Linked DNA regions of Nothobranchius furzeri. The protein of the gene in region 2 interacts with the protein of the main gene of each other region in a pairwise test. Links are inferred from orthologs where the notes say so. Each region holds a gene or a part of one and is shown on either strand. Other genes may lie near its edges.

Evidence for each region.
Region 1: the proteins of exosc10 (region 2) and mphosph6 interact in binary tests that used the Homo sapiens proteins (3 or more experiments, as listed by UniProt). The link is inferred for Nothobranchius furzeri from reciprocal best matches to the Homo sapiens genes EXOSC10 and MPHOSPH6.

The regions. Positions count from the first base shown.
Region 1 is NC_091744.1:80,074,976-80,079,516, reverse strand, and holds the start of mphosph6 (M-phase phosphoprotein 6), read right to left. Parts: upstream 2,881-4,541; 5' UTR 2,729-2,880; coding exon 2,681-2,728; intron 1,988-2,680; coding exon 1,875-1,987; intron 1-1,874. UniProt on the Homo sapiens protein: RNA-binding protein that associates with the RNA exosome complex. Involved in the 3'-processing of the 7S pre-RNA to the mature 5.8S rRNA and play a role in recruiting the RNA exosome complex to pre-rRNA; this function may include C1D.
Region 2 is NC_091755.1:29,809,128-29,813,702, forward strand, and holds the start of exosc10 (exosome complex component 10), read right to left. Parts: upstream 2,933-4,575; 5' UTR 2,853-2,932; coding exon 2,727-2,852; intron 2,002-2,726; coding exon 1,865-2,001; intron 1,677-1,864; coding exon 1,553-1,676; intron 1,468-1,552; coding exon 1,363-1,467; intron 1,238-1,362; coding exon 1,078-1,237; intron 990-1,077; coding exon 881-989; intron 799-880; coding exon 723-798; intron 648-722; coding exon 537-647; intron 423-536; coding exon 279-422; intron 1-278. UniProt on the Homo sapiens protein: Catalytic component of the RNA exosome complex which has 3'->5' exoribonuclease activity and participates in a multitude of cellular RNA processing and degradation events.

The DNA.
Region 1 (4,541 bases), on a different chromosome or scaffold from region 2:
CTTTTTGTGGCAGACAAAGGCCCTGTCCACACGTAGCCGGGGATCTGCCAAAACGTAGATATTTTTCTACGTTTTGGCCTGTCATCCACACGAAAACTGATCTTTTTAAAAAAACTCCGGCCAAAGTGAAGATGTGCGTTTTCTCCGTGTTGGGTGTCTGCGTGTGGACGGACAAAACCGGAGTTTTAAGGTCCGCAACGTCACTTTCTGCGACAAAGCAATGCTGACATCACGTGTGCGACCTGTGTTTACACTAGCCGACAGCATGGATGCCCTCAGAGCTGCGCTCGCTTTATCAATTGTCCAAGCGCTTTCTGCTTGTTTGTTTTTGCAAGAGGAATTACTGCTCCTTGCGGAAGACCACAGACGAAGGACGAGGTTAAGAACGGGGAAAGTACTGCCGCCTACAGGTCTGGCATGTCCTTAACAACGTATTTATCCAGGTACGTGTGGACAGTTTGTTTTTAAAACGAGGTGGTGTGGATGCAAGTTTTTGGAGGGGCGGATATTCGTTTTTAAAAAACCCCGGCTACGTGTGGACTAGGCCACAGTCTCATGACAGAATAAAAAAAGGGAAAGGCCCCACATGACCAGACACAGACAGGTTGTAACCATCTAATGACTTTTGAGGTTGTTTTTCTTTAAAACAAATCAGCGCGGCGGCGGGGCCCGAGGAGCCGGGGAAGAAGCACTGGCCGAGCGAAGGTGCAGTGAGGAGGAGAGCCGTCCTGACAAATAAACGTGTGTGTGTGTGTGTGTGTGTGTGCACGCGCTGTTTACTTTCATAATGCAGTAAGTAAAATAAGACAAACCTCACATGTCTCGAGTCACAATGAATTTGCGCGATACTTCAAAGCCTTGTTTACCGCTGCTACCAGAAACATTGAATGGAAAGAGAGGAGGCGGCGGCCATGTTGTAGCTGCGGAGCGTCGAGGCAGTAAAACTGACAAATAGGGCTGGGCGGATCGAGCTAAGATATCGATAGTATCGATCTAACGTTGGTATTGAGTATTTACTAGATACCTGCGTGATGGTATCGATTCCGTTTCTTCTAGCCTGGCAAGCATTGATTTACTCACCGCTACAGATGTCGGTCAACGAGGCAGTCCACCAAACTCCGTCAAAGAAGATGCAAAACACATCCTTTTCCTAAATAAACGTTAGTACTTCTATCTGATCTTGACTCAAACAAAAGCTAAAAAGTCATAATAGTCCAAACTTGACGCCAAAGCCATTTCAAACGAGCGGCTGACCGCCGACTAGTCAGTAGTGCTGTACGATACTGCAAAATTTGGTATCGATCCGATACCAAGTAAATACAGGGGCTAGTATTGCCGCCCAATACCAATACTTTTTACTACTAATCTAGTACCATCTAGTTTTGTGGGAATTATTAAGATAAATAGGATCAATAAAATTTGAGTTTTCAGACAACATCCTGCCTAAATAATACATTTATTTAGTCTGGCTTGCCAGGCTAGTGCTGGCGCGCTGTTTTACTTTTTTTTTTAATGTAACGGCGGGCTGCCCCGTTGACTGACATCCGTGGCATTCCAATCAGTGTTTTACTGGTTTGTTGGGCCAATCACAGTGCTCTTTTAGCGAGGTGGGAGGGATGTCCCTGCAAACAAACATGGCTGCCGCTCGAAACTGTCCAAACATAGGTATCAGCCAGGTAAACTACAAATAAAGATGGCTGCTGTTCTGTAGTGGTCCAATCATGGCGCTATATAGATTTCATGGACCAATCGCAACACTAAGTAGGCAGGATGTTATTGGAAAACAAAAAAAAAAAAACGTAGATCCCACCCCATTATTTAGATCTGTCTATGGGTCGTGGCTCGCCAGGCTAGTGGGATTCCTGTTCTCATACTCTTTAGATTTGAGCTCCGGCAGGTCCAGGTGCCAGTGTTCATCACTGATGATCCTCTTCTCGTCTTCGTCCAGCTGCTTCTTTGTCTCAGCATCCAGTCCCCTCTGCATAAACTGAAACACAAAGCACACATTTACTCAATCTGGACCCAACCAAAACCACCGTTAGCCAGGTCCACAACAATGCTGCCAAGATCATCAGCTTCCTGGAAGATCCAGAACTTCTAAAGTTGACTTCCATCAGAAATCTTCTCTCTTCCCACAACTCCTGGTTCTCAGGCAGCAGCAAGTTTGGTTCCTTCCTAGAGGTTCTAACAGTAAAACAAGAGGCACAGCTTTCCCTTCCCAGGCTCCTCTCTGGCGGCCACCAGGTCTCCCAGAACCAGTCGGTCCATCCTGGACTTGATTCTGTAGGACGTTGCGTGGTGCTGCTCAGGATGGAGGACGTGTTGGGAGTGAAGATTCTAATCATTGCACCAGAAGCTCTGGCTTTTTGTGAGCTGTGGTTCGGATTTTTTTGGACTTTGGTAGAATCTTCTCTCAGGTTCGGTCCTGGTTCAGAGTGGTCCAGATGAAGGAGGCACATCCCGCTCCTCCACGGGTTCACAGAGATCAGATACATCTCTGAAACACGCCTAAATCCGCTTCGTCTCGTTGCTTTACCCCGAATTCAAGTTCAGTTTCAGGGTGATAAACGCTGCTTGGAGTCAGCATCTGGGAGGAAACTAGCGTCTTCTTATCACACATCAAACGTTCATTTCTGTTTAGTCAATGACGTTCGGCGCAGAGCTAGCAGCTAACGCTTACCTTCATCCGCAGCAGGTTTTTTGACAGTTTGAATGAATCTTCCGCCATATTGTGCCGATTAATTTATACTAATTTAAAGTAAATCCGAACTCATTCAAACGAACTCGTTTAGATCTAACAATCAGCACTTAGCATTAGCCACTGGGCTAAGCGCTCACCACAGTCTGAAACAATCGAACATTGATGCGCATGCATGGTCGATGTTAAGGATGATGAATCAAACACGAGCAGCTGTTCGAATTGGATCCTGGTCATCTAACCTTTTCTAGAAAGATAAAAGGACATGACCGTGAAAACACTCGAAGATGAATTTGTGTAAATTATTTCAGTTTATATGTTTGTTTGTTTAAACCGAAACACATTAGCCAACAATAATTTAAAGACCAATGTGGCTAGCTTGAAGCCCCTCCCATTCACCATGGTAACACATGCTGGAGACAAGCCCCCAAAATTCAGCGCACAGATTTCACTCACAAACGCAGAAAGGTTCACAAATGAGAAGCTTTTCGTAAATGCACGTTCAGCAATTCGGATGATCTGTGAGTTTATATTACAAGTGTTCTTACAAATAATATTTGTGAACCACAGAGTGTGAACTTCAGAATTAGCGTGTGCATTTGTGGAAAATGTTGCGTGACTTATTTTTTCACATTATATTTATGAGTCAAAGAGTGTGAATTTCCGAATGAGCTTGTGCATTTGTGTTCCTCCGAATTATATTTGTGAAACACAAGAGTGTGGCTTTCCGAATGAACGTGTGCATTTGTGGAAAACGTTGTGTGACTTAATTCTTATGTCACTGCTTCCACTCCAGTCGGGGTTCTTTTTCCCCCCCCCTCTCTCTCTCTCCTCTTCCTGAGGAGGATCCACTCCCTCTTTCCTATTCACTCTCTCTCTCTTTCTTTACATTTTTAATCACAATTGTCTATTTTTTGCTCATTTTAATTTAATCATTTTCTAAATTCTTTTTTCTATTTTACATGTTTTGTTTTTGTGAAGCGCCCTGTGATTTTTATCTTGAGAGGCGCTATAGAAAAGATCTTTTTTTCTCTCTCTCTCTCTTAATTCATGCACTTAAATATTAATGTTCTGATTTTATTGAAAAACTTGTTCTGTAATAGTTCCTTTACTATTGTGATCAAAAACATTTAATCTCAACTCTGAGGCTGCTCTGTAAATAGTTTTCAAATAAACAATACACATAGCAACTTCTGATCAAACTTAAAGAGCAAGTAACGTCTAAATTAACTTTTTTTTGCTGATGAACTGTATAAATGAGTGTCTAATAGTGTTTTAAATGTGTGTATTCATTATTTTAGCATTTTGGTGCATTTTCTTAAAAAATTAAAAATTCTGCCTAAATACCACAGTATAGCTCCACCTTCAGCTTAAAACATAGAATTTGACTCATTTTGAATAAATTTTAGCCAATGGCTAAAGAGTAAGATACTACGTAATCCAGTAGAGTACTACGTAGCAGCTCTGTGTCAACGTTATAAAAGCATCGGGAGTCTCGGCCACGCCTTGTGGCGAGTTGGGAGTTGGATTTGCATGAGAGTGTAGGAGGCTAGCCGTAGTTCAGCATTAGCATATAGCATTAGCATATCCTAGTCTTTAGCATAGCTTTTAGTGTTATACATACTTATTTAGTGTTAGCTTGGCTGTTGGATATTGTAGTTTAGTTACTGTTTGGCTGTTAGTGTAATTAGGAAAGTAGTTCGGGTTTAGTGCTCCATATCGTGTTAGCATGGTGAGATGGTGTAGTGTAGTATGGTTGCGGAGCTCTGTCGGGTTGCACTCCTTTCCGCTGGACTTAGAAATTAGGCGCCAGTGGTTGCGTGTCTGGAAAAGATTCAGCTCC
Region 2 (4,575 bases):
TTTAATTTGAATAATTTAACAAATCTTTCAGCTGTTCCAAGCCCACACATCATATTTGTTCAGAGGTGTCCTGCAGAGTGTGAGTCACGCTGGTTCCCACGCACAAGACACCTGCCAACCTTATCAAACATGTTAATGAGACGGAAATCTGGCTTTTATCTTAACTGCTGAGGGAGAACTGCTCCCTAGGATGATGGAGACACGCTCTCCCTTCACAAGTCAGACTCAGCTCATCTCTTCAACATTAAATTAACTCATTTATAGAACAGTTTCATTACTTTGACGATACTCGGGTCGGTAAACGCCTCGTTCAGAATGTACAATTCACTGCGGAGCTCCAAAGTATCAATGATGAAGTCCTCCTCTCTGGTGGAGACCTGCATCAGACAGGTGAGGCCGAGGAAACTCCTGTAGGAATGATGCTGTCACAGAAAAAAAAGAAAATGTTTAACAGAAAAACAGCCTCCAAAGAGTTTAATGACTTCCTAAAGCTACTTTTATTTTAATTAGAACAGAAAGACACGAGACTTTAGTACCTCAAGATCCACAGCAAATTCAGACGACTTGCACAGCTTCTCATTGAGAGTCACTAGATCCTCCAGCGAGTCGACGAAGGTTAGGTTTGTCTCAGCCAACGGTTTGTACATCTAGAAGGAACAGAAACAGATGAGACACACACCGGCACAAGATGATTTTGTTGGGTTACTACAGGTTAATATTACTTGAGGCTCTGGCTTGGACAGCAAGCTTTCTGGTACTATGAGATGGTCCAGTTCATACTGGTACGGGTGTGCAAACCTACATAAAATAAAAAATAAACTCTACTTAGAGAAATGAAAACATGAAACACGGTGTTGACACAACCAGGGACAAGTCTCACATGTCTTCAACATGTTCCTGCGTCCTCTGCTGGTGGATAAAGTCAGCCAGGGCAGCTGGGACGTCAAGGTCCTCCGGCCTCTCTTTACGAATTTGTTTGTTGGTAAAATCTACAGTTTGAGAAAAGAAAATAAATAACTCAGATACGCTGACGAGTTGAAATGGCAAATCAAAACATGTGCCAAAGGTGCTTCTTACAGGAGGGAAGAGCCTTTAATGAATTGGGCTTGATGAAGATCTTTGGAACAAAAGGTGTGTTGCTGTTGTCGACCTTTTCTTTGAATTTCAGCTGAGGCCTTGCAATGTTCTTGGCATGGAGCAGTCGGAATGTCTCAGAACGACTGCCAGAGCTGGAACCCTGTAAAAAAAAAAACACACGCACACACACTCTGCTTATTATGATATAAGAATTTATAGATAAGCAAGAAGGTAGTTCAAAACAGAAAAACTGTGATAACAGGAAGAACTGTTTATTTCACCTACCTTACGATTCCAACTAGAAACAACAATTTTCGGAGGCTGAAACCCAACAGGCATGACAGGCTTCTGGCTCCGATTAACCCCATCAGCTTCATCAAGAAGAATGCCCTAAAAACCAGACAGCAGAACCTGGTTGGTCTGCAAAGGTCTTTGCATTCATTAAGTAATTTAGAGCCAAAGGTGCAGGTCATACCGCTCTTTCAAGGATAACATCATTCGAGTCCACAACCAAGTCAAACCTCTCCTCTATTCCTGTGAGTTTGTCCCGGTCTTTTATGTGAGATCTGCAGCCATGGTTCTGCATTATCTGGCTCATGCTAAAAGACAGTTAAACAGATTAAAACCTTGTTTTACTCCCTCAGAACTCAGAATACTCAGTTCAGGTTTAAACTTGAGCTTGCTTCTGAAAAACTGGTCAGTGACAAAAAGAATAAAATAATTGTTAATTATGTGTTGGTTACATGCTGATTGATCATTGACATGTGCCAATAGAAACTACACTTACCAGTGCAAAAGCTTATCTCCTTGACTTTCACAGAACTCCTGGAATCCCGGGAAGCTCCGATAGAAATCATACTCATCTCCAGACTGAGGTAAGCCAGCTGAAGCTTTGGTGGCCGATAACACTGCACCCAAACCATACTGTAAAGAGACCAGGTTCAGTTGTTACTATTACTAAAGGATAATAACAATGCAATAATATTTAAAATCTCATTGGTTTGATTTAAATGTGATGTTGATTTGCCTAAAAGCTTGGCTGTTGGAAAATGCAGCTTTTCATTCTTTCTGATGGGGCCAAATGTAACTTTGACCAAACAGAAAAAATATATGAAGAACTAATCTAAACAGAAAAAAATCTAAACATTTGTCTTAATTTAATGGTGATTTTTGTGTGCCCCAACTCTAGCAACTTTTAAATCAAAATTAAATATTTCATGCGCTCCTTATTTATTTAAATGCCTCGTTGTATGAAATGCATTACACAAATAAAGCTGCCATGCCTTCATAGTTTATTTTACTAAATTATATTTGACAATAAAAAGGTTATTTAAGCTTAAATACTGCAGACCCCGAATCTAGTGGAATAAAAGCTTGTAGCAACATATTTTGCTCTAATCATCAGCTTATATCTACTGCTGATTTGGATCCCTAAATGAAAAAGCTGTCAAAAGCTAGTTGGCAAAAAGCTTCGTTACACACAACCACACCGTTGCACCTTTAATTTATGAATAGTGTTAAGTCATTGTCTCTGCTTTGCTTGACTTCAACTCCCAATGATGATCCTGCTAACTGGCCAACCAGCTCACCCACGTTGGACTGTTAGCATAAGCTAAAAACTGGCTAGCTAGCTAGTTTTGTTTACTTACTTTAACGAAGGTGTCCGCGTCTTTGAAACCAGGACATAACTCATCTTTCACTTCTTCAGTAGTGTCCAAATTACCTCCCTGACAGCTGCTGTCCGTGGCATCATTACTCTTTGAAGAATTCATCATCTAAATTTGAGTTGTGTACATGAGTGCCTGACGGAAACAGCGCCACCTTTACCTTCAGTGTTAATGGTAGAGCAGTAGGGTCACAGCGCCCCCTTTCGGCATGGAGTGGACAGTGTCAACATTACACAGGAGTGAATACTCATAAAATATTTTAAAATTGATTTAGTTGCTCTCTGATTTGAAACTACACTCAAAAATGTAAACATAATAAACGAAACACATAAATAATGTACAATAGTGTACAAAATACTGTTGAAAAGCTTGAAGTTATTAAATATAGCAACATTTTTACAAGTGTTTGTACATATAAATTAATTTTCTACATGATAAAGAAAAGACAAAAACTGAATCTGAATCAACAAATAGATAAAATAATTGTTGGTTTAAATGATATAAATCTGGAATATTTGCTGTGTATTGTTGTAATGCTGGCTACTCTCACTACAAATCTGAAAGGATGTTGGTCACAAATCCCGCAGGACTGTGCTCTGGTCAGCAGAGCATCCATCCAATGCAGTGAGACTGCAGACGCTGCAAGATTTCTTCTCTTATCGCCCCATTTGATCCAGTTTAGACAGAAAGATGCACCAGGACTCTGGTACCATGAGGGGGCAGTGTTTACATTTGTAAAGTGTGCAAACCACTCCTCAGCATCTGCAGCACATGAAAAAGGAAAATGCACCAGTCATGTCTCCACCAATATTTGTTTAAGAGACGTCTATATTATATTTGAATCGAAAGCTTATTATTTTTGCAGAGTTTGACCAAGGATGAAGGTATCCTAACTGTAAATGTATTCATTCCCCTCAGTGTTTGTTGCCAAAACAAATTAGAAAAACCGGGTGTTGCTGTGATCCAGTGGTCAATACATGAGAAGAGCCAAAGTATTGACACGCCAGCTCATTATAAATGATCTGTGGTGTGTGGGGAGAAACCTCTCTTTTCTTCACTTCCCATTCAAATCGATTTCTTCACGAGGCCCTCTCCTTCTTATTATCTTAAAAGCATCTCCGCAACACTGACTGGATCAATATTTCACAGCATCTTTCCATGTCATTCTGTTGTTTCAGCGGAGAGTAACCAAACTTCGGCACACACGTGCACTAATAATTCAAAGAAATGAATCAGCATCTGTTGGAAAGTCGCTGCACAAAACCAGCAACTTGATGTGTTCGTTTCTAAAGATATTGAGTGTTATATTACTTTGAAACCATTGAGTTATCACTGATAACAGTCTTTATAATGACGTATTAATCCAGATTTAATAAACTTTGTCATATTATTAATCTATGTTATTGTTGCATTTCACCCCAATTTATGTGCTTTAAAAATATGATGCATTTTCTAGCTTTGATAGCGCTCCAAGGCTCTACTCCAGTGGGGTGTCCAGATCTTTTAAAATGGGGTGGCCCAGGTGAGGCACAATTTTGCGCATGGGTAGCACCAATGGTTATGCTTTTTTTGTTTTACCCCCAAGCCTTTTGTGGACAATGAAAAGCCTATTTAAAGGTAAATTAGTGTGGTGGCACCTGGGGTGGCCAATCAGATTCCAAGGGTGGCATGTGCTACCCCAGGCCACTCCCTGGACACGCCCCTGCTCTACTCAAGTCTCTCCCCGTGCAGTACAGACACTAAAACTGCTGATGCTGAAGGTGACAGCAAAATAAATAAATAAATAAATCCAGGAGAAAATTCTCAGTGAACTGTTTTTATTAACTCCTTC